Linked DNA regions of Diceros bicornis minor. The protein of the gene in region 1 interacts with the protein of each later gene in a biochemical or structural test. Links are inferred from orthologs where the notes say so. Each region holds a gene or a part of one and is shown in the gene's direction. Other genes may lie near its edges.

Region 1 (14,531 bases):
CGGAACTGAAGATGCGTGGATTCTGATAATGGCTTGTGGAAGTCTGTACTGCAGTCAAAATAACAAAGAGTTCAAGAAACTAACACTTTGAGAGTTTGGTTCCCCATAAATCTCCTAAATGGCCTTGCTTGAACCCTGGGTAAGTATCAACAGAATCCAGGGGAGTGTCGCTCGCCCTGGGTGAGAAAGCTTGGGTTGTTCCTTGTTCTGCTGTTTTACAGCACAAATTCTAAGCTGAACTCTGTTTATTGTCGATAGCTCTCTAACAAAGGGCAAAATGGAATGTGCCTGTTTTCAAATTCCTGTGAGAAAGGGCCCTGGAAGACCTCATGGCCTGGTTTAGGGCAATTTATGTCACTGTTTTTCAGTGCTTTCATTTAAGACTCCCTAAGGTATCGAGAGAGATCTTACCAACCATTGATTTATTTTTATTTTTATTTTATTTTATTTTATTTTTTAAAGAAAGCCATCTTTCTTTTTAACATTTTATTTATTTATTTATTTTCCCCCCAAAGCCCCAGTAGATAGTTGTATGTCGTAGTTGCACATCCTTCTAGTTGCTGTATGTGGGACACGGCCTCAGCATGGTGGGAGAAGCGGTGCGTCGGTGCTCGCCCGGGTTGGAACCTGGGCCGCCAGCAGCGGAGCGCGAGCACTTAACTGCTAAGCCACGGGGCCGGCCCCAACCATTGATTTTAGTGTGGAGCCATCTATAAGAAGGATCCATATGGGTTGTTACTGTATGAGAATGAAATAGAACCTTTCATATCCTGTTTAAAGTGTAGTGACAGCTGGGGAGGAAACTAAACTGGGAATAGCTGGAACATATCCACGTTTGGTGACACTGATCCAAAAATTGGTGTTTATGGTCTGAGGGAGGGAGAGATGGCTTGTTGATATCTTAGACACTAGGACTTGAGGTGCTCCTTGCAAGAACCCTTGCTGAGTTCAGAGGTGTGGGGAATCAACAGTTATGTTTTCAATACTTTACCCTGGGAAGCACTTCCTCTGCCCAGAAGGCTCTGCTCCCTGTACTTCCATGGCTGGTTCTTTCTTGTCATTCACTTCTCATGACAAATGTCACCTCCTTCCACCCAATCCAAAGCAGGAACATAATCACTCACAACATACCCCTCCATTTTAATTACCTGCCTAGCACTTACTTTTATCTGACATTTTTGGTTATTTATTCTCGTTTATTACATTACACACTAGCCTGTGAGCCTCATGTTCATAGAAAGCTTGTTTGTTTACTATGGATTCCAGTGACTGGCACATGGTAGGTGCTAATGAAGGTGTTGAATGAAGACTAAAGAATAGGATAATTGACTCTGTACAATTTGATTTAAGAAAGGATTAACTTTGTAGAGGCCATACCGTAGTATCTGTAGGTAGTTGTTTTTTCTGGTTCTTATGCAAGGTAGTAATAATTTGAGGTATGTCAAACCCCTTTCTTCCCTGGAGGGAATTCTGAAACCAGTGGAAAAATAGAAAGCAGGATAAAGATATCTGATAAGAATACGACTAAATTAATCTCAAACTAGATGTGTGATATAAACACCTCAGGGCTGCTCTCATCTAAACATACAATCTAAAATCATTTAATTTGAAACTCTTCAATTTTCTCCATTATTATTATTTTTTACAGGCTTCTCTGGTCATTTTACTATATCAGCCAGAGATGGGTAAGAAATGTCGAAATATTCACTGTGGCTTGGAGCTGTTGATTTGGCGGGCCAATGAATGTAATGCTATTTGAAGAACATCAGGTTTTTTCAATTTCCCCAGCCTATTTCACAACCCCTTGCTTCACTCTTTTCCCAGTTCCAAGCTCAGACAGACACCAGCTGGATAAAGCCCTGGGTTCAAATAAACTTGACTTGGATGGTGAAGTACTAGTAGCAAATCAAATCCAAAATCCCCACCTACTGTGAAGTTTCTCATTCACAGCAAACAGACCAGCGGCAGCAAAGATTCTTCATCCACAGATGCCCTCTGGGCAGGTAACCCATGATTTATCCTAAACCACTTGATTAATCTGGAAAAAGGAATAGAATAGTTCTGCCAAACGATTCAAATGAAGAATCCTGTGGGCTGATCCCATCCCTCAGTGCTAAGCAGTCTGAACTGGATGGGAGCACGTGGTGCTCTCTTTGTAGCCGCAGAGATCAGCTCCAGCCAGGATGGGGCTGATGGAGGCACTGCATCCAGGCCTCAGGTGATCCTGTGGTATAGTATACTTCAGTCCTTCTGTCCAGTGCAAGTCAAACAATCAACAAACAGTCAAATAATCAAGGCTGGATTGACCAAGAAGCCAAGTAAGTGCGTCCTGGGGCGGGGGCAGGGACGGGGGTGGGGGTAAGGGGCATTCAAGAAAGAATTAGGAAAACTGTACCAGTCGGTCTATTTATTGAGTGCCTGCAGTTGTGCCAGGCACTGTTCCTGGCACTGGGGAACTGGCAATTTTTCTCTCCCTCATGGAACTTACGTCCTGGCATGATTTCAGCATACTTGTAAGTTTTATTTTTTCAAATAAAAACTTATTTTGCAATTTAATATTGTTTTTATTTTGGATTACTTGGGAGGGTACCATAGTCATTTTAGTATTGGGGCCATAAAAGTTTTATTATGGCACTATTCCCAGCACTTTTAAACGAAAACACTGGTTAGGTTTTTATCTTTATGCCCAACATTTTCTAAAAAGTTGCTTGTAGTACTAGGCTGAGTTTGTGGAAAAGAAAGGATCTGAGGGATGACCCACATCAGATGAAATTTCTCATTGTGCTGATCACTGTTTCTGGGTGCGGTGGTTGTGGATTTAAAACTACAGCACCCACACCCTCTTAAATGGCAGGTAGTGGAAGCATTTAGACAGCAGATATGATGGGTCTGTACAGTTCTAAGGATGGGGGTGTACCCTTTCTGCTTATAAGTGTCTAAATTATTATGCCTGGTATAGAAGGTGCAGATCAGGCTTTTGGTTCCCCTCACCGGGGATGGTGGTGGTGGGGGCACAGGCAAGAAGTCACCCATCAAACCCCTTCATGGAAAAAGAGAATCCGTGCTGCCTTCTCAGACACATGGGCAATAGCTGACGACCTTTCTGTTTAACGTTCATTCATTCCACCAACATTTACTGAGTGCCTATTTGTGTCAAGAAGCATAGGCACTGAGGATAGACACCTACTGAATAAGACTCTGCTTTCGTAGAGTTTATGGCCTTGTGGAGGAAGATAGACAATGAAAAAGTACATAAATAAATAGAGTAATGTAGTTGATAAGTCCTACATGGAAAATAAACCGGGTAATGTGACAGACAGTGACCGAGGGGCAAGGAGGAGGAATGCACCATTGGATGGGGGACAGGACAGGCTTCCTGGAGAATGTGCTATTTGAGCAGATATTGATCATGAGGAAGAGTCAACATATCAAGATCTGGGGGGAAGTGGGAACAGTGGGTACAAAGGCCCAGCTACAGAACCAGCTTGGCATATTCGAGGAAGAGAAAGAAGGCCAGTGTGGCTGGAGTGGAGTGAAGGAGGGAAAGTGTTTCTGGATGAGGTTGGAGGGCTGGGTAGGGGGCCCGGTCACACAGACTTGGTAGACCTCGGTAAGGAGTGTAGATATTTTTCCAAGTGTACTTCTGTAAATTGGCCACTAAACAAATTTGGAGGGTTTTATGATTTAGTGTCTAGTGTTATGATTAAAGTCAGAGCCCCACTAAGTGGGAGAGTAGACTTTCACTGTACGATCTGCCCCTAAGTTAAGCGATTACCTCACAATCTTGGGAGGGTTGGAGTCTGAAGGTAGATTTCTTCAGTAGAGTCATTTTTGGGATTTTCACAGGGAACTGTAACTCATTGACACTCCACGTAAAACATCAGGGGGAAAATCAGGCCTCAGCTGGGAGTTGCAACTGAAAGTTTTCTTGTACAACACAATCAAATATTAAACTAAGACAAAAAGTGTTCACATCTGAGGATGAAACTATGATCTACAGATCAGAAGGCAGCATAACTCTGAATTCCTACATACTGGTCAGGATTTTCCGGGTTTAAGAAAGGGGATTTTTTTTTGTTGGCGTTATAATTATTAACGTCTCTTTTAAAGATCTTTCTTGTTGAGTGAGGTGGTGGATAAAACGGTTAAACTATGCTTGAGATGTCTTAAGAGCTTGGAGTATGTCACGTGCCACCCCATTTTAGCCATCCCTGGCCCGGCGCATGCCGACTGTGAGGTTTTCCCGTTGGATGGGAGCCCTGCAGTTGAGGTTTCTCAATGAGGGTGTGGTGTTTTCCTATAGGCTTAGTGACGTAGATGAGGTTCCTTTGGAATTCTAGCAGCTAAGTCCACCAGAGCCGAAGAAGGTCAGCTCAGGACGTCTGGGGAGCTGACAGTCTGAAGAAGACTCGCTGTCTGCAGAGGGGGAGCTCTTGTTTCTGCAGCAAGGTTCAGCATGACTGACAGAATGGGGGTCCGATGCTGCTGGTTGTTGTGGTGAAAGATGCTGCGAGCTTGGGCTGAAATGCGTCCTTGTTAGGCACCATAGCTGTTCCCCAGCTTCCTCAGCTCCAGATGGAGTGTGTCCCAGGGACCACACAGAGCTTTGTTTAAATGCTCGCATTAGCGGAAGGACGGGGATCCCATTGAATCATCATCTCCTGTCAAAAAGCCAAGAGTTGTTCAGAATGAAAACAGTTTTTCCCAAAGAGGCTAAATCTCTAGTACTAATTAGTAGTGGTAGTGGAGTGTGTGTGTGTGTGTGTGTGTGTATGGTGATGGTGGTGGTAATCCCATGCCTCCACTGTTTTAAAATAGGGGCAGTCTTTTTGCTCGATGTCTGAGCCACAGGGTGAGTAACTTTGACCTCTAAGACCCTTCATTGGGCTCACATGTGTCTGAGTCCTGCAAAAATTGTGGGAAGCTTCTCCCCCTTGGGTCTAGACATTTAGAATGAATAAATTAGAGGGTGGTGGTAACACGGTCATTGTCATTCCAGACAATGTGACATTTATGTATGGGCACTGGCTGTCTTTCTCATGGAGCTCAATAACAAGGATAAGTTTGATCTTTCATCACGAACCGCTGGGGAGTTCTTTATACACAAAAACTGCACCAGCTGAAAATAGCCCTAACATCTTGTTATTTTCTCTTCCCCAATTTTTGCCTATTCATACCCAAGAATAGAAGACTCAGCCTGTTCAGCCTTTCCAAAGATTTAAAGAACATTATCTATTTGATTTCTAAGTACCCATAAAGGACAATAATATATATTCACCTTGCTTGGATGAGGGCATTCATTCATTCAACAGATATTTATTGAACACCTACTATGGGCCAGGCACTGTGCTAGGTGCTAAGTGAATATCAGTACACGAAAAAGGCAAAGGCCAGAAGTATGTAGATGCTAATCAAGCGTAAGAAGCGATTTCCCCAAGTTCCTGAAGGAGTTGATTTTGCTATACGCATCTTCCTGACTTCTGGTCCCGTGCTCTGACCACAACCCTTCACCACTAGACCACACTTCCCCAAATAAATAACTACTTCTGCATGCTGGGGAGGGGTTGTATGCGGCAGCATTTACGTAGGTGGCACAGACAGCAGCCTTTCACTTAATGTTGCAATAACACCAGGCTAAACAACGTGCCCCGACTTTCAGAGCAATTGAACAAATGCTTGATGTGGATCAGGTCTCTTAATTCAAATGCCAGAGAAGTGCAAAATAGGAATAGCCTCTATCTGATAAGGAAGCACTGCTGAGGAAAACTGAATTTGTTTTCAATTTGGGTTAAAATCAGATGTGGGATGCTGACCTCTTTTTCACTTTTGGATCTCCAGACAGGAGGAACTCATCACATAGATAATCGCCAGCTACGTAAGTTTGGGTTTTATATGCTTAGACTTGTCCAGAACACAGAATCCCCGCCCTGCTGGAAGGCAGCACCATGCTTGCAGAGGCACACACATCTGTCTCAAAGTGACCCTGACCTTTGAAAGCAGCAAAGATAATTTCACATGTTGGTTCTGATTTCCCTTTATTTTAAGGCTACACCATGCGAACTCCATATTAAAAATGTGATTTTGCAGTCCTGAAATGGATACCATGAGTAGATTGAGATGTGAGAGTGTGTTAGCATGACCACGGGTTCCTATGTTAATGGGGCAGGAGAGGGAGTCTGAGATTGTATCGTCTGATACTACTGCTTCTGGTTGAGCACTTGCTTCCCTAGATAATGCTCTGGCATTTCAATCTTCATCATGTCATTTCCCAGAGAACAGTGGATCTGGGTCCCATCGCTGTTTTGCAGTCACTTCCTCTGATACTTGTGTCCAAACCTTCTTCTGTGTTCCACAGCACCTTGTTCTTGCTTCTGTCAAACCACTTTCTGCTGCCCTGCAATTCTCTAGTGATTTGCCCGTCTTCTCCACGAGGCTGGAATCTCTCTGAGGGTAGGGACAGGTCCACCCTGTTCATTACAGTGAGCGCCAGCCCCCAGCACAGTGCTTGGCCATAGGAGGCTCTCAATAGCCCTTTGTTAAATAAATAAAAGAATGAACGAAAGAAAGAATGGTTCTGTCCTTTTCAGGGGATGGATTTACTAAGTCTCCAACTCTCTGGTCATAATGGTGCCAGGAAGGAAAGAGTTAAGCTTTCTGGAGAAGACAGGTTCATCCAAATACCCTTTTCCTTTTTTATGTGTTGGCAAAGGCAGGATAAGCGATAAATGAGATAAATCCTGGATATAAAATCTTGACACATCCCTTGGGTGTTGGCCTGAGCTGCTTCAAGAGTCTGAAGGGGAAGTAAATGAAATCATTCTAGGTTTTCTCTTAAGCGGCCTGAGATCTAGTTATGAATGGAAGGCAAGCCCAGACCCAGGAATTCAGAACTTGACCTACTTTGTCTGAAGCTAATAATAATGAGAGATGGATTTACCTTTATAACTTTTTTTCTTAAATAATCAAGGACAGTGATGTAGCCTGGCAGATGACAGAATTTGGAGAACTGAAGGAAGGCCACAGAATTGCTTTACGATTCAGAGCAGCTCCAAGAAGTCTGTGTTTATGTATTATGTGTTTTTCCTTTTCTCTCTCCTTTTTTAAGTGAGAAAAAAATAACCCGCCTTAATTCCCACCAACATAAACCAGTGACATACAATGATGAAATTCTGTTTTCACCTCTGCCTGTGACAGGGAATGCAAAAATAGCAAGTGGCCCAGTTCCACGAATCCCCGCCTCCCTGCCCTCCCGGCTCCCGCCGGGTTCGCATCTCTAAGAATGGAGGTTAGCGCACAGCCGCGCGCTGGCCCCGCTCAGCCCCCGGACCCGGCGGATGATGTCAGGCGGCGGGAGTGGCCGCAGCCCGGCCGGGGAGGCCGAGGCCCCGGGGGAGCGAGGAGGGAGGGGGCCTCGCCAGGCCGACGGCGCGCCCCGCCGCGCGGCGTCGCCTGGAGACGGCCCTGGCGGCGCAGTGTTGCTGTAAACAGCCGCTTCCCTGTTACTATCTATAGCAGGATCGCCTGGCTCCGGGGTGCGGCGGCGGGAGGCAGGTCGGCGGTCCCGCTCCCCCCGCGCCCCGAAGGATCCGCCCGCTGCCCTAATCCCGCCTCGCCCCTCTCCAGATGCCCACCACGACCTCCGGGCCCGAAGAGTGGGGGAAGGGACACAGAGGCTCTGCGGGGACCTTCGGCTTCGCGCCCCGGAGGTGGCCGATACGCTAGGATCGAAATGGGGCAGTGTGACCCCTGCGGTCCTTTGCAGGGAGCAGGAGGCTGGGGGCGTCTGGGGGCGCAACGCACTCCTCGAGCACCTTGCCGCCCCAAAGCCCCCATTTCCAGGCCACGGAACCGCGCCTGAGGTCCCAGCGGCGGAGGTCTCCGGCCTGGGCGCTGCTGGGCATGGTCCTTCCAGCGGCCCCGGTCCTCCCCCCTCCAAGTCTGCGCTGGAAAATCACCCGCTGCGGGCTCCCTGTATGCCCAGCTTCCTGGGGGAACGGAACCACTCCCACCTCAGCAGCTCAGACTTGCGCCCCTCCAAGAGCTCACTTCACTAGGTACCCCGAACTGACGACCTTGTCCACATAACACCCTCCACCCCCACCCCCGCTCCATGCCCCGGGCCCCCCTCAGAACCAGGCAAACGCACGCTTCAGACATCCTTGCATGAAGGTTCTGCACGATGTTTATTGGCTAGTGTCTCAGGGATTTGACAGTAACGCTAATATCCCCTATAAGGCTGAGAAAAAAAAATGCTCCTTTTTCCTTAAAAACAAAAAAATTAAAATTAAAATACCCAGCATCGTAGACAAAGTAGGTTATCGTATTCTCTTATTTTGGATCCGCCGAATTTCTGCTTCCAAACGCAGTTAACAGTCCTAGTATTGCTCGAGCCCGGGGGTTTCAGGCGAGGGTGTGAGGGTCTGCTTCCACAGTTTGCACTGAATCAGGGCTAGAATCGGGAATGGGGGTGGAGGCGCATTCCTTCGGGGGCCGAGGCTTAAGCCCTCGGGGCGGTGTACCTGTTTCTTCCATACCTGAGCCTCAGAACTGTTCCCTGGTTTCTGTACACTGGCAAAAAGGCGCCCCCACTCCACCCGGGGAACAAGGGTCCGCATTGAACCAGGTGCGAATGTTCTCTAGCGTTCTTCGCCTTTCCCGCCTCCCCTCCCCCGGCAGCGGCCCCCGGCCCCCCCGCGCTGCACCCTTGGTGTTGGCTGCAGCCGGCAAGCAGTTCCCGTCAATATCCTCCCCCCTTTACACAGGATGTCCATATTAGGACATCTGCGTCAGCAGGTTTCCACGGCCGTTCCTTGAGGTCGTGGGGGGAGTCATCCCCGAAATCCCTCATCTTAAGGGGTCCACGAGACCCCTAAGACCCAGGTTGCTAAACACTCATAAGATAAAGAAACACAACAAGACGGAGGGGAGGGGGCTGCGAGGGCGGCGAAGGCAGCTAGGAGGCTGCAGAAGTGTCTAGGTCCGCGAGCCACCCCTGCGGCGCCACGATGGTTGCGCCCATGACGTGTTGGGCTCATTCATAAAATGCTGTTATAAAAGCAGTAGCTGCGGCGCCTCGTACTCCAACCGCATCTGCAGTGAGCAGCCGGGAAGCTGAGACAGAGCCAGCGGCGGCGCAGCGAGCGAGCAGTGACCGCGCTCCTACCCAGCTCTGCCCCACCGCTCCTACCTGTCTCCGCCCCTCAGCCCCTCGCCCCGGCTTTGACTAACCGCGACCATGATGTTCTCCGGCTTCAACGCCGACTACGAGGCGTCCTCCTCCCGCTGCAGCAGCGCCTCCCCGGCCGGAGACAGTCTCTCCTACTACCACTCGCCGGCCGACTCCTTCTCCAGCATGGGCTCTCCCGTCAATGCGCAGGTAAGGCTGGCTTCGGGCCGCCTCGGTGTCCGGGCTCGGGGTGGCCGGGGAGGAGACACCGGGGCGGGACGCTTAGAAAGACGAGTCAGTGACCCCTTTCGGTCTGGAGGGAGGCTGCCCCGGCTGGAGCAGCCCCATCTCGGGAGCCCGGGACTCCTTCGGAGCGCAGGCATGCTTGTCATAGTAGGAATTGGTTCTCCTTTCCCGCGGCAGGCTCATTCTGAGCTGCCCCCGGCCCGCGCTCTCTGACTGGTCTCTGACATTAGTTGGAGCAAACGTGTCCCAAGCAAAGACTCGCTAACTAGGGCCTGGCTCCTCCGGGGAGGCGGCAGAAAGCGGCAATCCCCCCCTCCCCTCGCAGCCTGGAGCAGGGAGGAGGGGCTGGGGAGGAGGGTGAAGCAGGCGGGTGTGTAAGGCAGTTTCATTGATAAAAAGCGAGTTCATTCAGGAGACTCCGGAGCGGCGCCTGCGTCAGCGCAGACGTCAGGGATATTTATAACAAATCCCCTTTCAAGCGAGCGATGCTGAAGGGATAACGGGAACACAGCAGAGGGATGGAGAAGAAAGGCACCGCGCTGCGGAATTCTTGGGAGGAAAGGGGGAGACCTTTCATCCAGGATGAGGGGCATATAAAAAGACATGAGCGGTCCATGACAGGACGGTTTCTCCTCCCTCTCTCTCCCTGCTGCATGCGACACTGGGAACTCGGCTCGCTCCACCTGTGTCCAGAACCTGCTCGCTCACGTCAGCTTTCCCCTTCTGTTTCGTTTTAGGACTTCTGCACGGATCTGGCCGTCTCCAGTGCCAACTTCATCCCAACGGTAACTGCCATCTCGACCAGCCCGGACCTGCAGTGGCTGGTGCAGCCGACCCTGGTCTCCTCCGTGGCCCCATCCCAGACCAGAGCTCCCCACCCTTATGGAGTCCCCACCCCCCCGGCTGGGGCTTACTCCAGGGCTGGAGTCGTGAAGACAGTGACAGGAGGCAGAGCTCAGAGCATTGGCAGGAGGGGCAAGGTGGAACAGGTGAGGAGTTCTTTGGCACCCACTCTCTGTAGGGAGTGGGCATTGGTGTAGATGGGGAGCACAGTGGAGAGGGTACAGCCACTGATGGAACTGACCACACATCCTGAACAGGGAACCCTGGCTCCAAGCCTTTTCCATCCCAAGTCAGACTCGGATAGTCCCATCCCAAGAAATATCCTAATAGGTTCCTACCTCATGCTTTTAGACTGGGCTATTCTTTCTTCTCTTGCTGAGGATCTTATTTGAAATGCAAGTCACACCCAGCCTGCAACTGCAGGTTAGCAACGGCTTCATAGAAAAGGTGCCAGGAAGCTGGGAAGCCGCAGGAGCCAGTTTCACTGGGGTGGGTGAATGGAGCTGATGGCAGACACTGTTACTGAATGTTGGTCTTCTTTTCTTTCTTTTAGTTGTCCCCAGAAGAAGAAGAGAAAAGGAGAATCCGAAGGGAAAGGAATAAGATGGCTGCAGCCAAATGCCGGAACCGGAGGAGGGAGCTGACTGACACACTCCAAGCGGTAGGTAGATCCTGTGGGTCACTCCTTTTTAAAACTTAAGAGGAAAGTTGGAGATTGGGCATAAGGGAGCAATGTCCTTGATTGAGACTGTGTCTTATGCTTTGCTTTATCCCTCTGTATACAGGAGACAGACCAACTAGAAGATGAGAAGTCTGCTCTGCAGACGGAGATTGCCAACCTGCTGAAGGAGAAGGAAAAACTAGAGTTCATCCTGGCAGCTCACCGACCTGCCTGCAAGATCCCCAATGACCTGGGCTTCCCAGAAGAGATGTCTGTGGCTTCCCTTGATCTGAGTGGGGGCCTGCCTGAGGCTGCCACCCCCGAATCTGAGGAGGCCTTCACCCTGCCCCTCCTTAATGACCCTGAGCCCAAGCCCTCAGTGGAGCCTGTCAAGAGCATCAGCAGCATGGAGCTGAAGGCCGAGCCGTTTGATGACTTCATGTTCCCAGCATCTTCCAGGCCCAGTGGCTCTGAGACCGCCCGCTCTGTGCCAGACATGGACCTGTCTGGTTCCTTCTATGCAGCAGACTGGGAGCCTCTGCATGGTGGCTCCCTGGGGATGGGGCCCATGGCCACAGAGCTGGAGCCCCTGTGCACTCCGGTGGTCACCTGTACTCCCAGCTGCACTACTTACACGTCTTCCTTCGTCTTCACCTACCCCGAGGCTGACTCCTTCCCCAGCTGTGCGGCTGCGCACCGCAAGGGCAGCAGCAGCAATGAGCCCTCCTCTGACTCGCTCAGCTCACCCACGCTGCTGGCCCTGTGAGCAGGCGGGGAGGGGAGGCAGCAGGCACACATAAGTGCCACTGCCCCAGTTGGTGCATTACAGAGAGGAGAAACACGTCTTCCCTCGAGGGTTCCCGTAGACCTAGGGAGGACCTTATCTGTGCGTGAAACACACCAGGCTGTGGGCCTTAAGGACTTGAAAGCATCCACGTGTGGACTCAAGTCCTTACCTCTTCCGGAGATGTAGCAAAACGCATGGAGTGTGTATTGTTCCCAGTGACACATCTGAGAGCTGGTAGTTAGTAGCATGTTGAGCCAGGCCTGGGTCTGTGTCTCTTTTCTCTTTCTCTTTAGTCTTCTCATAGCATTAACTAATCTATTGGGTTCATTATTGGAATTAACCTGGTGCTGGATATTTTCAAATTGTATCTAGTGCAGCTGATTTTAACAATAACTACTGTGTTCCTGGCAATAGTGTGTTCTGATTAGCAATGACCAATATTAAACTAAGAAAAGATATGACTTTATTTTCTAGTAGATAGAAATAAATAGCTATATCCATGTACTGTAGTTTTTCTTCAACATCAATGTTCATTGTAATGTTACTGATCATGCATTGTTGAGGTGGTCTGAATGTTCTGACATTAACAGTTTTCCATGAAAACGTTTTATTGTGTTTTTAATTTATTTATTAAGATGGATTCTCAGATATTTATATTTTTATTTTATTTTTTTCTACCTTGAGGTCTTCTGACATGTGGAAAGTGAATTTGAATGAAAAATTTAAGCATTGTTTGCTTATTGTTCAAAGACATTGTCAATAAAAGCATTTAAGTTGAATGCGACCAGCATTGTGCTCTTTTCATTCTGGAAGTTTTGTAAGGTTCTGAAAGGTATTTGTTGGAGACCAGTTTGTCAAGAAAGGCAGCTCCTGGAGAGGGACACACCCTTTGTTTGATCCTTTATCAAAGAGAAGGAAACTGTAGAGCTGATGTTGGAATATTTTACAAATACGCGTCTTCACATTGCAATGCTCAGATTCGCTACAGATTCTGGGGGTGGGAACATGCTGTGCATTAGCTTTCGTGGGAACATGTCTTCCTGCTTCTTTTTTTGTTTCAAAAGTCAAAGGGGGGAATATTTAAATCTAGTTGTGCTAATATTAAATTTAAATGTCTTGATCTTAAAAGAATCCTCGCAGCAAGTAGAATTAAGCTTTGCACAAACCACTTTTTAACTTTTTATTCCCACAAAATCATGTGAAGGGTTACTTCTACCTTAAAGGTGAGCAAATTGAAGAATGATTAGAATGAAAGACCTTAATATTCCACTGTTGGGATTGGAATCTTAACTTCCTCATTCATGACCCCATCCATCAGGCTGACCTGCGTCTTTAATACTTGGTTGAAAAAAAGTTTTCACTTCGTTAGGGAAAAAATAAACTTCTCAGTCCTTAACTCTAACATACATACATTTAGTTGGATTATTTTTATTCTCAGAAGGAAAGGAAGGCTACTGTTCTATCCCTATGTAATAAATGTATTGTAATTTCTGAAGCTTCTTTAACATCATACGCCTAACATTCTGGGGGAAGAAAAGGCTGGCTCAGAAGTTGAAAGAGATCTCAAACAGTACAAACAATGGTTAATCATTCAGTAAATAAAACATTACGCAATAGCTCAATAGGGAGAAGTCAACATTACCCTGAATAAGCTTTAATTTAGAAATTTTATCATCTTAAAGGAGAACATGACCTTTGTCTGGGACACCTCTGTTAATGGGGCACTTACACGCACATGTACAAACCACCAAGAAAGGAGGCGGCGCCCTTCCTGCCCTGCTCTCAGGATTCCTGCAGGCACCAGGCTTGGACGCCAGAGACCATGTTTGCTGGGTGGAAGAGGAGCTTCAGTGCCAACCTTCTAATGCTTTGGTGATAATGAAAATCACTGAGTGGTTATGGGGTGTCACATTCCATCAAGTTGAAAGTCTTAATTTAAAATGACAGTTCCACTGAGGTTGACGTTCTCACCTATGATCTGAGATCTACTATGATCTGCTCCTCATATAGTCATTAACATTTGAAAGCAACTTACTTTAGACTCTTAAGAGCACTGATACATTGCACACCACTTGCATATTATTTTTGCCTGTCTGGCAATACTGAAAGTGGCCTTAGACTCCCTGTTTGCTGTTTAGAGGGTAAATTTCCTGTAGCCTTTAAATATGACCTAAACTAAATACAGAATTACTATAACTAACACCCAGATCTGAAATAACAAGGTGATATACACTGTTAGGGAGCCAGCTGGCTCCCTTACATGTATAGTAATAACAACCCATGGAAGGAGATTTCCCAGATGGAGAAGGGAGGCTGGACCTCTAGCCCTGGACACTGAACTGCTTCTGGGGACCTGACTAATGGCCTCTGTCAGCCCCATGCTGACTACAGAGAGAGAGCATTGATTTCCCTGACAGCCCGGGCCCAGGCCTGGACACAGACCTTTCCTCTAGGTCACCACAGCCCAGCTGAGACCAGGCTGCTCCATTAACAAGACTGCATTAGGGGGCTTGCCTCGTGGTGTAGTGGTTAAGTGCGTGTGCTCTGCTGCTGGCGGCCTGGGTTCGGATCCCGGGCGCGCACCGATGCACCACTTGTCAAGCCATGCTGTGGCGGCGTCCCACATAAAGTGGAGGAAGATCTGCACAGATGTTAGCTCAGGGCCAGTCTTCCTCAGCAAAAAGAGGAGGATTGGCATGGATGTCAGCTCAGGGCTGATCTTCCTCACACACACACACAAAAGATTGCATTAAATGTCCAGGGAGGGGCCAGCCCCGTGGCTTAGCAGTTAAGTGCTCGCGCTCCGCTGCTGGCGGCCTGGGTTCGGA
Region 2 (15,055 bases), on another chromosome or scaffold:
TTGCAAAATATTTTATTTAAATAAAATTGAAGATAGTTCTTCTAAAACAGAGTTAAACAACAAAGAAGCCACAGCGTCACCTTTTTCAAATTGCATAGTAAGAAGCAGATGATCTCTATTTTTTGCCAAAGAGTGATAACCAGGTAAACACACACACACACACACACACACACTTCCTTTACATGTTATCGAATGTCAAACTCTTCTGTTATATCTGCTGTTGAAACCTCAGTTAGGTACTGAGAGTTATAAGATGCGTTCTTTTGTGGGAGAATATGGAATTATTGTAATTTGTATTTACATTTAGTAATATATTTAAAAAAGAACAAAGTAAATGGTGACGAAGCAGGGAGGTTAGGAATCCCTCTGTAAGTTCTGTACATGTACCCTCAGAGCTAGGGCTGGGCTAGGATTAGGATGAAATGAATTGAGGCACTGGCCTTGGGTGCAAAATTTGAGGGGGTTCCAAGAAGCCCGTTATTTAAGATAATATTTTAATGCAATATTCTTAAAAATCAAATTTAATACCAAAAGATCCATCATGAACAAAGTATCAAAACTTTAAATAAAGATGGGATCCGACCCTGCACTTGCAGGACGCGTCTGGCTCACCCTACTGCTGGCCGTGGCCGGAGAAGCTTCCTTTCAACTCTCCTGTTCAGACCAAGGAGGGTAATGGGCTAGAATAGTGGGACAAGGACAAAGAGCATGGCTTCTAGAAGCAGCCTGAACACTATCCCACTTGTAAATGTGTATAAGGTAGGAATCATGGTACCAAGGCCATCTGAGACCTAACTATATGCAGCCTATTCAACTTTATTTCTCTACTATATTACAATATTCCATTCTAGACTGGATGGTCCCTTTAATGTTCCAACAAATTTTTTTCCACTTTGGTTTAGCTCAGTATTTTCTAAAAATAGTTCAAAGACCTTTAAGTCCACTCAGAAGCAATAATTAAATAAATTTGGGAAATGGTGTATTCTAGGTTCTTCTCATGGAGATTCAAGATGTATATAACATATTAAAACCTGGGAGAAAATTGGCAGTGCTGGGTCTGTTTTGTTTAATCCAGTGTTTTTCTTTTCTTTTTTTTTTTGAGGAAGATCAGCCCTGAGCTAACATCCATGCCAATCCTCCTCTTTTTGTTGAGGAAGATTGGCCCTGGGCTGACATCCGTGCCCATCTTCCTCCACTTTATATGGGACGCCACCACAGCATGGTCTGACAAGCGGTGCGTCAGTGCTCGCCCGGGATCCGAACCCGAGCAGCCAGCAGCGGAGTGCCGGCACTTAACCACTGCACCGCGGGGCCGGCCCCTCCAGTGTTTTTCTGTTTTATTTTACTGTAGAGCCATAGCATTGCCTAGTCTCTGACTTTAAGTACAATAAGGCAGCATCATATAATCCTGCTCCCCGCTCCTCTCCTCGGGGGTAGGGTTTTGCTCTTCTGATCCTGCAAGATATCTATCCACCTTCCTTGGCCCTGGTTTTTATCAGATCTAGGCATAGAGCAGCTCTGGAATTTTTGCGTGTGATTTTATTTATGTATATTTTAATTGAAGTGTGGACTATAGGATTTCATGGAAGATGTCAAGAGGACTCTGGGGGGGAAATATTGACCAATTTACATTTAGTAATATATTTAAAAAAGAACTTAAAAAAGAATTGACCACACCTTCTTCTGTTAAGAATATATGCCTTCTAAGTATATACTTATCAGGTAGAGATAAATCATTTAATAGATGTGATGTAACAATGGAAATACTCATCTTATAGTGACCCAAATGGAGTGCACCAAAATGGAAACTAGTGTGAATAAGAGCATCTTGGGGACCAGAAAATTAAAACTCTAGCATATCAGTCTGGGAACAATGAGGAAAGAGAGACCACATGGTAATTTGAACAAGGAAAGTTTAATATAAAGAATTGTTGACTATAACAAGGGATTGAAGTAACAAAGAGTTGGCTAGGAAAAAGTAAAGAGAACTCTAAAGACTACAGGAATAAGAGCATCCACTACCCTCAGGACTGAAATAGAGCAACCAAGGAAGAGTCCTCCTCCTTCCTCCCCCTGGGCTGAGATCCAGACCTGGTTAGGAGAGCACAGCCTTGGCTCCCTGGATGGCAGAGAAGTTGCACTGGTGGAACTTGCTGGATCTCTCCTTTAGGGTGCTGGGGAAATGTGTTCACAAGTAGGTGTCTCACCAGAGGCACACTGCTACAAAACAGCCAAGGGTGGAGGGTGCTGGGGGAAGCTGCTGGGGGCTGTTGGGGGCTGTGCCCTGCAGGACCCTGGCACTGGAGAAACGACCCTTGCTGCAGCAGCTGGGCCCTGGGGAAGCTGCATGTGTGTGCACTGCAGGAGCCAGAAGCTGGAGAAGCTACTTGTGCTAGGCTGTAGAAACCTGCTGTGTGAACACTAGGGAACCAGGAAGCAAAATCCTGTCCTCCTGCAATGTCTCTCCTTTGCCCCCTACTGACAAAACATCAATGCCAGCTGGTAAGGAGAAATATTTAAAGGGCCCAGATCCATTGTCACAGAGCAGGTAAAAAGCATGAATTTGGACGTGAGAGGCAATAAGTTGATAAGTGGCACACCTAGGGAAGAAAAATGATCAGGAAGAAAAATAGTGACGTGTAGGAATGTGATTGAGGAATAGATCCTGCCCAACAAAAATAATTCAGGGGAATCATTTGAAGTCAAAGAAGATAAAAGAATCATTGCTTATAGAACTTGATCATGGCTAGATGGGAAGAAGAAAGTGCTTTCTCTGAGAAAAGTATAGCTCAGGAAAGCTTGGGGAAAAACACTGGGGAAGAGTTTCTGAGTATGACATCCAGAGGAGCAAAACACTTAGTATAGTGACCTAGAACTGGCATCCCCTAGGATTGCAGCTAATAGAACCAAGTTGGACACTTGTTTTTCTATTTTTTTTCTTTTCTATTTTTCCTGCCTTTCTAGTTTGTACAAATTTCTCACACTGAGAAAATGCTGATTTTTGTACTTTGTTAGATGGACCAAGAATATTATGACTTACTTTTCTCACCCTGATGGCCAGAGGTGGAGAGGGGATAAATGGTTCAGGCCACCATCCCAAAGTCTAAAGTCGAACTTTAGAACCCTAGGCAATGGGATTAGAATTGGATAGCAACCTTCCTTGGTGCCTTGAAAGTAATATGTGAGCATATCAATAAAGAAGGGTTCAATTACTACAGGAAATGTTTAATTTTAGGGTGTTCTTAGATGTTTCATCACAGACCTCTGTAAACTTTTACATGTAATATTCCACTACTTCTCAAAGATTACTGCTACCACCTAGGACTGTTGCCAACACTAAAATACCGAAGGGCTGATTTGAGAAAATTAGTTTTATTTCTCTGACTCCTGGGCAATTAATTAGACTCTTTTTAGAAATTACATTGGTCTCTTCAGGTAAATACAGTGTCATTTAGTAAGTTGGTATTTTAGTCAAACACAATATATGTCACTTTAGTCAGTGCATTCCTAAACAGCAATTAGACAGATGCTCCATAAGTGTGGTTCTGAAAGATCATGTGGCCAGTGTCAGCTTTTTAATGACAATGCCATACTCTCTAAAAAGGCCTGAAAATGGCCCATGGGAATGCTAACTGGAACAACAAGGAAAGGTTTATGATGCTAAGCCCTCCACTACAAACATTTCATCTCTTGTTACAGCCATGCAAATTATTATAGGTCCATTCACAAAGGGAAAAAATTAGTGAGCTTAAAACAAATCATATAGTATTTAACTGTATAAAAAATTAAAATGGAAAAAATATGTCAGATGGCTTTGGGATCACTTAAGTTATTAAGCTGTCTTAAAAGTATATACCGTGTAGGACTTGTGAAAATATCATATACCAGAAAATTCTTGGTAAGCTCATTTATGTTTCTTGTGTAATCATCTGTAAAACAGATAAAGTAAACTGTTAAAGCCTTACCTATTTTTTTCAGGTTCAGGCTACACGAAAGTTTCTTTACTCTTTTCTCATCTATGCAGTTAATGTGCTCCCACTCTGAAGGACAATGGAACATGCTGACATACAGAGATGTGTAAGACAATGGTTCTTAAGGAGCTTGTGAAAAAGCATGAACTTCTCATTCTTTCCTCCCTATTTTGGCACATCCAAAATTATTAAGTGAAAAATATTAGTCTAATTAATTAACACTTTATACAGAAAAGAATAAGTTAAATGAAGCATTTTTCACTTTTAAATGACTAATCTGGACCTTATACACACTCCATGCCAATATCTTCTTTAATATTTACTTCTTTCTGCTATCCCATTCCACCAGGGTCCTGCATCCCATTCACTTTAGGGCAGGGATTTGACAAAGCGTTTTTGTAAAAAACCAGATATGAAATATTTTAGGCGTTGCAGGCCATATAATCTTTGTCACAACTACACAACTCTGCTGTTTTAGGTGAAGGCAGCTACAGATAATACATACTCAAATGAATATAGTTGTGTTCCAATAAAACATTTGTGCACACTGAAATTTGAATTTCATATCATTTTCATGTGTCATATATATTATTCTTCTTTAAATTTTTTCCAACTACTTAAAAATGCAAAAACCATTCTCAACTTGCGGTGTATACAAAAATAGGCATCAGGCCAGATTGGGCCTGATCTAGTGGCAGTGCCACTTCTACAAGGGCTGGGTAACTTTTTTACTCCATCATAGTCCAAAGGAAAACTCGCTAAAGATGGTTCCGTTTTCCCATACAACACATTCAAAACTTTAAGGATCATCATTATGTCCATGATTTTCCATTGCACATCTGAAAGGTTGTCCCACTTTATTAGCTGGTCCATTGAAAACTATTTTAAGATTTTACAGTGACTTTTTCACTTCTCATTACGAAAAAGTATATGTAAAATAATGTATAGGGGTTAAAAGATGAAACCTGGATGCAGAAAGCATGAGTTCTGTTCCTAGTTTGGGGGATCAGTACTTTGACTAGATAAATAACTTGACTGCTTCACATATCATTTTCTTTGTCTGGAAAGTCAAAATTGCCAGTTGTTGTTACTAAGCAGTTATATTAAACGTTAAAGGAGATGGAGGGGAAAATTATGCTTATATCTTCTGAAGTAGCCACATTTTCAGAAAAATGTATGTTGTTTTTTATGCCATAATATACAACAGAAAAGATGAATACCTCTGAAGAGGAATCTAGTGGTGATTTGTTCTGAACATTTGGGGTAGAAGAAAATTTAAACTCAAGAGTGAGATCATGCAAACTATAGCACAAAATACACATATGTAAAATTTCATGGTTTTCCTATGTGCCTACTATTACCAGGAGAGGTTTAGTTTAGGGGTCTGTAAAAATGTTTTCTTCCTCTAAGTATAATGCTCTGAGCCAAGACATCATCAGTTCCAGGCTAAGTCAGTTCCAGTTGAAAGTGTGAATGTTCAGCAAGAGGATATTTTTGAAAGGAGACTGAAAACCCGCTGTGCCAGATACCTGAAACGTTGTTAGGGTATTCAGTGGAAAATTTCATTTCCACATTATAAATAACTGTAGGATATTTTAAGGGATCCAAGACTAGTGACTTCCAAGAGCTGCTTATATTAGTTCCACTGAAATGTGAAATGGAGGGAGGATGCCCAAGGAAGGCTATAAAGCTGAATTACCGGATATGATTAATTAAAATAAATAATTCACCATTGATTAAATCGCCCCTAAAATCCCCAGTCAAGGGACTCAACCTTTGAGGCCTTCATATTTTGCTATCCACCAAGTAAAACAAAGAAAGGACAAAACAGCGATAGAGAAAGACAGAGGAAAGTCCCCAAGATGATTACTTAAATTCAAACTGCCCTAGAATTTCTTATTCAAAAAAGCCCATCTGGTCGCCCATATTTGAAATCTTGCCTGTTACTTAGCGTCTTTTCTGGAAGTTTCCCGTTCTGTGGACTTCCTGGGAGAAGAAGGAAAACCCTAGAGAAGGCGGCATATCACCTACTAGGGTAGTTACTGAATTTCTATCTCCCTTTGACCACAGAAATAATCCACTTCCTGTAACTTCTTCCCTCCTTTGCAGCCCCCACACATTTAAAAACAAAACAAGTCAGAGATCTTTGTTAGACAGTGGTACAACGTGCCCAAAATAAAACTGCCCCGCTAAAAGGCAAAAAAATAAAAGAATAAAATAAAAGATTCGAGTGTGTGTGAGTTGCGTATGTGTATTTATAAGTGTCAGAGTGTGGATGTGCGAGAGTGCGCGTCCGAATGCATGTGAGTGGGTGTGTAAGGTAGCAGAGTAATGGATGCAGTCTGGTCTTTTTTTGATGGGTAAGCCTGGCTTCCCTTGGCGGGTCGGCCGCGTGCAGCTCGGGAAGAGTCGACCCCCGTGCGCTCAGGCGGCGCGGCGGTGCCCGGGGTTAGAGCTCTCCCCTGTGACCGAAAAGATAATTAAAAATCGCACGCGCAGCAGACAGCTTGGTTCCTCGCTGTGCATCAAGTTCGCCGGGATAAGGGGGTCCTCGCACCCCGGCGGCGCCCGGGCCTGGAAGCCAGGTGGCCAGGGGCGAGGAGTAGGTTGAGGAGGGGGTGTCGTAGCGGGTGATGCAGAATGCGTCACCGAGGGTGGCAGGCGGCCTTGGGAAGGCAGAGGAGGCGGGAGGGGCGCGGCGACGAAGCTCGCGTCTGTGGGGGGATTTTGGAGAGAGGCGGGAACGTGGAGAGAAAAGTGGGAAAGGGAAAGACGGACAAGGGAGGAGTGGAATTGTGAATGGAGAAAGGGAAGGTAAAAATAAAGCCCAAAAGAGGAAGGACAGAGCAGTGCCCCCTGAACCCCATCCTTACTCCCGCGAGGGCGCACGCCTAGCCCCCCCGCCCCCCACCTCTGCTCCAGCGGTTGGAAGACGCTCAGTCGCCCTCGCATCTCTTTAGAGGGCAATCCTGGTCTCCAAGTCATGCAACTGCATCCCTGCCAGTTCATCTTGCGCTTGAAATGGGCTCCAGAGTCCGTGACAGGAATCAGGTCTTCTCTTCTGCGCCCCCCTTCTGCCCCCGATGCTCTCGAAGTTCTCCCAGGCCCCTGCAAAGGCGCAGACCCCGAGCGCCGTCTCAGCCAGTGGAAGAAAAGCTTTAAAAACCGAGAGGGAGGGTTGTGGCAGGTCGCTACCAGAGTGACAGAGGCGTTTGCGCTGAGCAATAAATTCGCCGATTAATGGGTGTATGAATTGTTTTAAATAAGATGAGGGGAGATAAGTGATGACTCAACTATCTTGCTTCCTTAATACTCCTAGGGCCAGGCATTATAATTTTTCATTTATTTTATAAAATCACTTATTACTGTGTCAGCTACGCTATTAGGAACCTTAGAAACTTTGGCAACTGATGATTCTTTTTGCAAACACGTTTTCAAGCTTTGGGAGGTTAAAGGCGTTTGACAGTAAGCAAGGAACTTAGCAGTACACAACGTGGAGTGGAAAGGGCCCTGTGCCCCGTTCTTAGGGGTGCAATAGCCTCAAGCGGATTTCCCGGCTTCTGTGGGCGCCGCACATTGTTTGATTTGTTTTGAAGGCTCAGAGTTTGAGGCTGGTCGGAGACACCCACGTGCTTCTGACTCTCATCAGCGTAATGATCGCCTTAGCCAGAGTCGTGTCTATATAAACCACAAAAACCTAATCATTAGAAATCCCAGCCTCCAAAAACCACATTTTAGGTAAAACTGCCGCTTTTTTCCCGCGCTCCTTCATCCTCTCGACCACAACTTTTTGGGGGGATCCAAAGTCGCTTTTTTAACCCAGGTTGGGAAATAAATACATAAATAAATAGCCATTGAATCATTTTGAATATTTTATTTTGTATTTTTATTCCCCCCCCCCGGGAGTGGTGGGGAAGAAAGTTAAGACATTAGACTTAGTTTTAGATGCAGAATAGACTTAATAAAAGATTGAAATTCATGGAAGACTGCTGGGGTTTTTCCCCAGCAAGGTTTTTGCAACTTATTTTAATCATCAAGCCGACAGTTTTCCAGTCCTTAAAAAAACTCATCCTTGTTCTCTAGGAACGACAAGTTTGAATATAGAAGACAAAAGTGTCCAGCCACCCACTTGAGTTTCTAAAAACTATTTTGACAAGTGCTCCCTCCACCCCAATTTTTTGTGTCACTTAAGACAAAAAAGCACCCAAACCCTGCAAAATCTTTTTTTCCCCAGGAGCCGCTCGGGCAGAGGTGGGGGTGGGGTGGGGGAAGGGTGAAGAGTACTGAGAAGTCAGCACAGACGCTCAAGAATTTTCCTTCCTCCTCTCCTGAAGTTACAACGAAAAATAACGACAGTCAGATCAGCCGGCGGCTCTCTGGCGTCTCAGCTTCAACCTCATCCGACCAAGAGGGGGTTCCTTGTCCTGGGGGGAGGGGGGAGAAGCAAGAGGACGCAACCAGGCGAGATTCCCCCTAGACCGGGGCCGCCTCTCTCGGCTTCGGAAGCTGCGCGCGGCGTCCGGGGGGCTCCTTCTCGCGGCCGGCGGGCGGCGGCAGCGGCTGCGATTCGCAGGCTCGAGATCCGTTGCCCCGAGCTCCGCTGCCCGCGACTTACCTCTGGGCACCTCGAAGCGCGAGGATCAGGGGAGCTTTGCAAAGAGCAGGAGGGAGTGGATGCAAGGAGGTGGCGGTGAGAGGGCGAGAAGAAGAGAAGGGAAAGGAAGGAGCCGAGCCCGGGGGCCGGGCTGGCAGCCGCCGCGGGAGGAATCTGAGCGTGCAGCCGGCGCGGGGGGAGCGGCGGCCGCCGCGGAGGAGGCGGCGGCAGCGGCGCGGGCGGGCGGCGGCGCGGACGCCTGCAGCTGGGGAGCTGCGCTCGGCGTGGCGCGGCGCGGCGGTGGCGGGTGGCGCGCGGCTATGCCGACCCCGGAGCTGGACTGCTGAACTCACTCCGCTCCACCGCCGGACTCCAACTGGGAGGGGGCGCCAGCGCACCCAGGACGTGGTGCCCCAAGGGACCCCACTCCAAGCTGCAAACTGAAGCCCCCCGCCTCGCCGGGCGAAACACATCCCCGCGCCGGTTCGCAGCTGCCACCCCGGGTGTTCCAAAGGCTTCGGCAGGATCAGCGCCTCCCGGGTCTCCCCACCCGCCAACCCAACTGCTCCGCACCGCCACCGCGGGGCCCGTCAGACTCCACCCGGCAGTTGGCTTCATCGAACTTGATTTCTCACCTCCTCAGCCCCATCACCTCCATCCCCTTTCCCCCGTCTCGCCTCCACCCCCCCCAATTTCCTCCTCCTCGCCCCTCATTTCCACCCTCCTCCCCCTCCCCCGGCCACTTCGCTAACTTGTGGCTGTTGTGATGCGTATTCCCGTAGATCCGAGCACCAGCCGGCGCTTCAGCCCCCCCTCCAGCAGCCTGCAGCCCGGCAAGATGAGCGACGTGAGCCCGGTGGTGGCTGCGCAACAGCAGCAGCAGCAGCAGCAACAGCAGCAGCAGCAACAGCAGCAGCAGCAGCAACAGCAGCAGCAAGAGGCGGCGGCGGCGGCAGCGGCGGCGGCGGCGGCGGCAGCAGCGGCCGCGGTGCCCCGGTTGCGGCCGCCGCACGACAACCGCACCATGGTGGAGATCATCGCTGACCACCCGGCCGAGCTTGTCCGCACCGACAGCCCCAACTTCCTGTGCTCCGTGCTGCCCTCGCACTGGCGCTGCAACAAGACCCTGCCCGTGGCCTTCAAGGTAAGCAGCTGCGGCCGCCCCCCGCCCCCGGCTGGGCGCCGCGGGACCTGCCCGCCGGCGTCTCTCTGCCCGCGGGGGCCGGCGCCCGGACGGCCTCCAAGGCCTCCTACCTTGGTGGCTCTGACCCGAGGGACCCCTGGCTGGCCCTCTTCCTCCAGATCCCCCTGCGGGCTCAGGGCGCAGTGACCCTGCGCAGATGCTTCCCTCTCCCACCTGTGCCCGCAGCCACCACCGCAGCCCTTGTCCCCTTCATCCGTTCATCACCCCTCCAGCCTCCCGGCCCATGTTCTAACCCACTCCTCTGAGCCGTCTCCCCTCCCCCCAGCAGCCCCCAGGTGCCCACTCCTTGCGCCGCCACCCCGACTTGCTCCACCCCGCCCCCCACTCCCCAGGGGCGAGGATCCCCGGCATTCTCCCCTGGACTCCGGGGCATCCCCTCTCCCCGGGCATCCCGGCGACCCCACACCGCGGGCTGCCCGCGCCCCCCTCGCCTGGATTCCGCGCGCTCCCACCTTCCTCCTTCCTCGCGGAACGCCCCGCCACCCGTCTCGGCGACCCCTTCTCTGACCCGCTTGAGCCTCAGCGGCCCGGCCCCTCCCGGGCTCGGGGGCCACTGTTCGTGGGGCGCCGGCGCCAGGCGTTCGCGCCCGCGACTGGGCGCCGGGTGCCGGCTGCGGCCCGTGGGCCGCGTTACGCGTGTCCAAGAGGGTCCCGGGCGAACCTAGGGACCCGGGGAGGGTGAGAGGGAGACAGGACGGGGGCGTTTGCGCGGCTTACAGCCCCGCGCCAGTTCCCGTTACCGGAGGAAGGCGGGGCCGCTGGGGTCGGCGCGCGCCCGGGTCCTGGGCGCCTGACCCTCGAGTGCGGGGCGGCGCGGGCCAGTGGAGGGGGCGGGGGCTCGGGCCGCCCGGTTCAGCCCGGACCAGCTCCCCGCTGCGCCCCGCCTGGGAGGGATGAGGAAACCTGTGAAATGCCTTCAGTTCGCCCGCCTTGAACAGAGATGAAATGTGCGGATTTGTCTTACGATGACTTTCAGAGGACTGAAATCCCACGGGTCCCTCCTGCTTCTGAAAGGTCGTGGGAGGCTCGGGCCGGTGGCCTGGGCGCGGAGGGAGTGACCCCTGGGGCTTAAGAGCGCCCTCGGCGCGCCCCGCGGCCTCCTCCGCCAGCCCGGCCCGTTAGTTGGAGGGCGGGTGTCGGCGGCGGGATCGCAGGCGGCGGCGCTGCAGGTTGAGGGTGTCAGGTCCCGAGCCTCTCACAGGAGCCCGAGGGGGTTCCGTAATGCGATCAGGATTTCCCCGGGCAGCCCTCGCCAGGGGGAGACGCGGAGCCCCCGAGGCCGAGCGCGCGGCGGGTTGATGGGGAAACGGGTTCCTGGGCTGTCCTCACTCGCGGGACTGGACGCCGGGGATGGAGGGGGCGATGAGCCAGACAGGGAGGAGAGCGCGCTCCGAAAGGCGCTTCCGGCCTTGTGTAGCCTCTGAACTCGTGAAGGTGGGCCTGGGTCCCCTGGGTTCTGGGGTCTCTGGAGAGCAGGGTGAGCAAGGCCTTGAGGGAGGGGGAAAATGGGGAGGAATCGTGCCAGTTCCTGCATTGGGAATCCTGGGGCGAAACTCCCACGGGCCACCGGCAGTTCCCATTTGTTGATCGGCCCCCTGCCCCCCACGCACCAATTCAGATTCCGTGTGTGGGTGGCGTGGAAAGAGGAGTCCAGGTCAATTAGAGCTGGGTATCTCGCTGGGTCTTATATCAGAAAAGAAATCAGAATGAATTGTTATGGAAAGGGGATGTTGCGTTCTGGGGCAAGTTTCATTTTGCAGTTGGCTCAAGAAATGTGTTTTTTTTTTTAACCGTCCCATTTCTCCTTTTGTAAACTACCCATTTTGTAGGTTATATTTTCTTCCTTGAAATATGAAAAACTCAGAATATATGTGAATTGTAGAAGTTTGAATTTCCATACAAGAGATATCTTTTACAATGTTCATCGTCCAAGGGCCTAGAATTTTCTATTTAGCCTTATGTGAGAAATTTGTTTCCACCAACCTTCCCCCCCAAAAAAAACCTCAAAACATAAACAAAAAACCTGAGTGAAAACAGCAAATAATGCAAATAAGTAGATATTTTGTCTATACAATGCCACAAGTCAAGATATGTGAAAATATAAGGATAGGTGCCTACATTTTTAAAGATATCCTTTAGATGTTCGATGTTTTACATTCCGTTTGTTCTGCTAAACGTATTTTAGGTATAACTGTCTTAAACTATTCTCTTATGTTTATGCTGCTGAGTTAATTTTGAGTATTAGTATTTTGGATAGAAAAGATGTTTTTGGCATAAAGAGAATGCAATTTAGTTTGAGCTTTTCTCAGATATTTTGGTTATCTTTAGATTTTCTCATTACCACCATTTTAAAATTAATTTTGAAAATAAATTGCTTTCTTTGCTATTAGTTATACTTGTTAATTACAGAGTAATTTTACTTTCAAACAGTAAACAAAACCGTAGACAACACATGGACATATAAAATTATATATTTTAATTGAAAAACAGTTAACCTAAAACTTGACTCGCAATGTTTTCCACCTCCATGCCTGTGTTTAACAAAATTCAGATAGCTGATGATAGCTGAGATCCACTCAATATAGAAGTTTTGTCTCTGCTGAAAAAGAGGTGTAGATATTTGGAACATCTAGATTTTGACAACAGTTTTTATTTTCATCTGAACGTTAGTAAAAACAGCCTCTCTTTACCTTACTTTCGAGATAAAAGCCTGAGAGCAATAGACTTTCTTCACTCTTGCAACATAATCAAATACATCTGCAATGAAGAAATAATATGAAGTCTTAGTTTTAAAAGTGATGATAGCAATTTGGCTATCATATTTAGAGCTATGTGCAAAGTAAATTATAGTGTTGTGTGGTAGATAGAGGATAGGTAAATATATTTAAAAACACACACAGAGAACTCAATTGTTGGGAAGTCTGGTATTCAAATCAATACGGTATTTATTGGGCCCGTATTTTATGTCTGTGACACTGAGCTCAGCACTGTAGAGAATCAGAAATGAATTCAATAGACTGTGTTTTGATATGTTAATTTAAAATAGTGCTTCAAAATGATATTGATAACCTATAGTATTAAGACGGAAGTAACCTATTAGTAGAGATCTGGGGTTATACAAAAAAAGATCTTGTTTTGGGGATACACAAAAGTACTTAATTCGTTTATACTCAACATGGAAAAATGCAAAAACAACTAGTACACTTTAAAATATGTAAAGTTGTTTATTAGCATTATATTTTTAACAAAGTTCTACAGTTTTGAAATGTTCAGTCCTCCCAGGTGTCAAGGAAATGGAAATAAATATTTTTAACATTTCTTTCAGGTGTATCTCACTGAAAGCTTAAAATAGTTAAGGGATACTATTAGAGGATCCCAGGCCTTTTCTGTCCTAGATAATTCTAGTGACAAAAAAGCTGTTTGCAAATTAAGCTCAATAGTTGATGGTCAGGTAGAAGTGGTGGAGGAACATGTCCACCCTGTATCCAGTAGCACCCTTCCAGTTAGGGCTCTGTCAGCATTTCCACCGTGAAACCTGGTGTTCAGGGCTCATAACTCAGTTGCTTTAAATAGCTTCCTGCTGAAACACTATGCGGAAAGTTTAAGTCCAGATGTATATTTTAAAACTAAAAGTAGTGCAAGACTATTGTGCTGTTTTAAGTTAGAGAACACTGGACTGCATATTTACTAGTATCATATGTTTTTCTGGCAATGTTAAAGAAAGAAAACACATTTTTAGATATGTGATCTATCACTCATAGTTAATTCTATATGTTTAATGAGACCTTTCAGTATTTGTCATAAGTAGGGTTTCAAAATGATGGAGCAATTTCTTTTTGAAAATAATTTTTTCAACATCATTGGCCATTTTTTTCTTCAAAAACAAGTAGGCAACTAATAAATATTTGACACTAGTGAGTTGTATTTTCCTTATATATTTAATGATCAGATTTCATCTCTGTGTCTTTTTGAATGTAATTATACCTACGCAAAGGAAAACAGGTTATTAAATCTGTTCAAACCTTATTAAGCCTACTATGAATTGTTATGCAAATTATGTAAATCATAATAGATTTCAAGTTGTCTGAGGGCAGACACATTTTTGTGTTATGTCTTTAAATGCAGTAAAAATTATTTAAAGTTAAAAATTTTAGGATTCAATATGTAAAACTTATTAGTAAGGTAATCTAAATGATTTTAAATGGAAAATAAATATATAAAAAATTAAAAAAAACTTATATTTGAAAACAGTCATGGGAAGATATCTTTTATTATTTTCTCCCCTTTGGCATTGCTGTTTGTTTTCTTTCAAAATTCCAGAATATCCATTGTTAGATGATTTAAACCAGCTTGATACATGGCACCCAAATTCCTGGCTTAAATTGAAATAATTCCCATCAAATTTGTCTTTGACATGTATTTTAAAAATTACGAAATGATATTTTATATTGTATTGCCTTTTTTCTCTACAATTCAGTTGGATTTTCCTAAATTCTAGGTTAAATTCTAAAAATCAGCTGTAATATTTGTGGAACTTTTTGATAGTTTATTTAAAGTTATCTTTAAATAATTACTATAGGAATAAAACTTTTCCTCTTGCAATTAGTTCCTTACCTCTCTTTTTATTCCAAAGAAGGATTTGATCAGATTCTATCTTGAAAAATAATTATATTTCAATTTTGCGGCAAGTACAATGTGCCAAATGATATTGGTCCGTAGCAGTAATTGATTAGTTAAGACTAGACTTCTGTCCATGGATATGTCATAGGCAATTTTAATTTCCATATAATAAGACCACAGAAACAATTTTCAGGGTCTGAGTTAATTCTCCGTTGCTCCTCTTTCAGAGTAATTCACAGATCTAATCATAAGGAGTCTCAAACAAAATTTCAATAGCGTTTCTAGAGTTAAATAGCTTTTTACTTTATTTTGAAAAAGCTACGTATCATGTGATTTAAATGCTGGTTATAGTGAGGTGCGCTAAATAAAGGAACTTGTTTCTCTATTCTGAAATGTTAGGACACAAAATGACTTCCCTCTTTCCCATGAAGTTTCTTGAATTTGTAAATTTTGTATTTTAAAAACACCTAGAAAAGTAATTGTTAAGATTTCATCACAAATTATTCTTTGCAGGACAGAACTTTTGTATTGGGTAGTGTGGAAACAACTTTTATTGCGTGCTTACTCCTAACTAGTTAAAGAGCAATTTTTGACTGCTCTCTACCCCTTAAAATGTTTTCCATTGCTTGGGTTTGGTACAGATGAAATGTGTAAAAATTTCTTGAT

What was found.
Region 2: the proteins of FOS (region 1) and RUNX2 form a complex in vitro, tested with the Homo sapiens proteins (2 studies listed by BioGRID). The link is inferred for Diceros bicornis minor from reciprocal best matches to the Homo sapiens genes FOS and RUNX2.

Annotation. Positions count from the first base shown.
Region 1 is NC_080763.1:23,181,458-23,195,988, forward strand, and holds FOS (protein c-Fos), read left to right. Parts: upstream 1-9,099; 5' UTR 9,100-9,235; coding exon 9,236-9,376; intron 9,377-10,149; coding exon 10,150-10,401; intron 10,402-10,808; coding exon 10,809-10,916; intron 10,917-11,040; coding exon 11,041-11,682; 3' UTR 11,683-12,487; downstream 12,488-14,531. UniProt on the Homo sapiens protein: Nuclear phosphoprotein which forms a tight but non-covalently linked complex with the JUN/AP-1 transcription factor. In the heterodimer, FOS and JUN/AP-1 basic regions each seems to interact with symmetrical DNA half sites.
Region 2 is NC_080753.1:20,599,932-20,614,986, reverse strand, and holds the start of RUNX2 (runt-related transcription factor 2), read left to right. Parts: upstream 1-9,304; 5' UTR 9,305-9,331; coding exon 9,332-9,709; intron 9,710-15,055. UniProt on the Homo sapiens protein: Transcription factor involved in osteoblastic differentiation and skeletal morphogenesis. Essential for the maturation of osteoblasts and both intramembranous and endochondral ossification.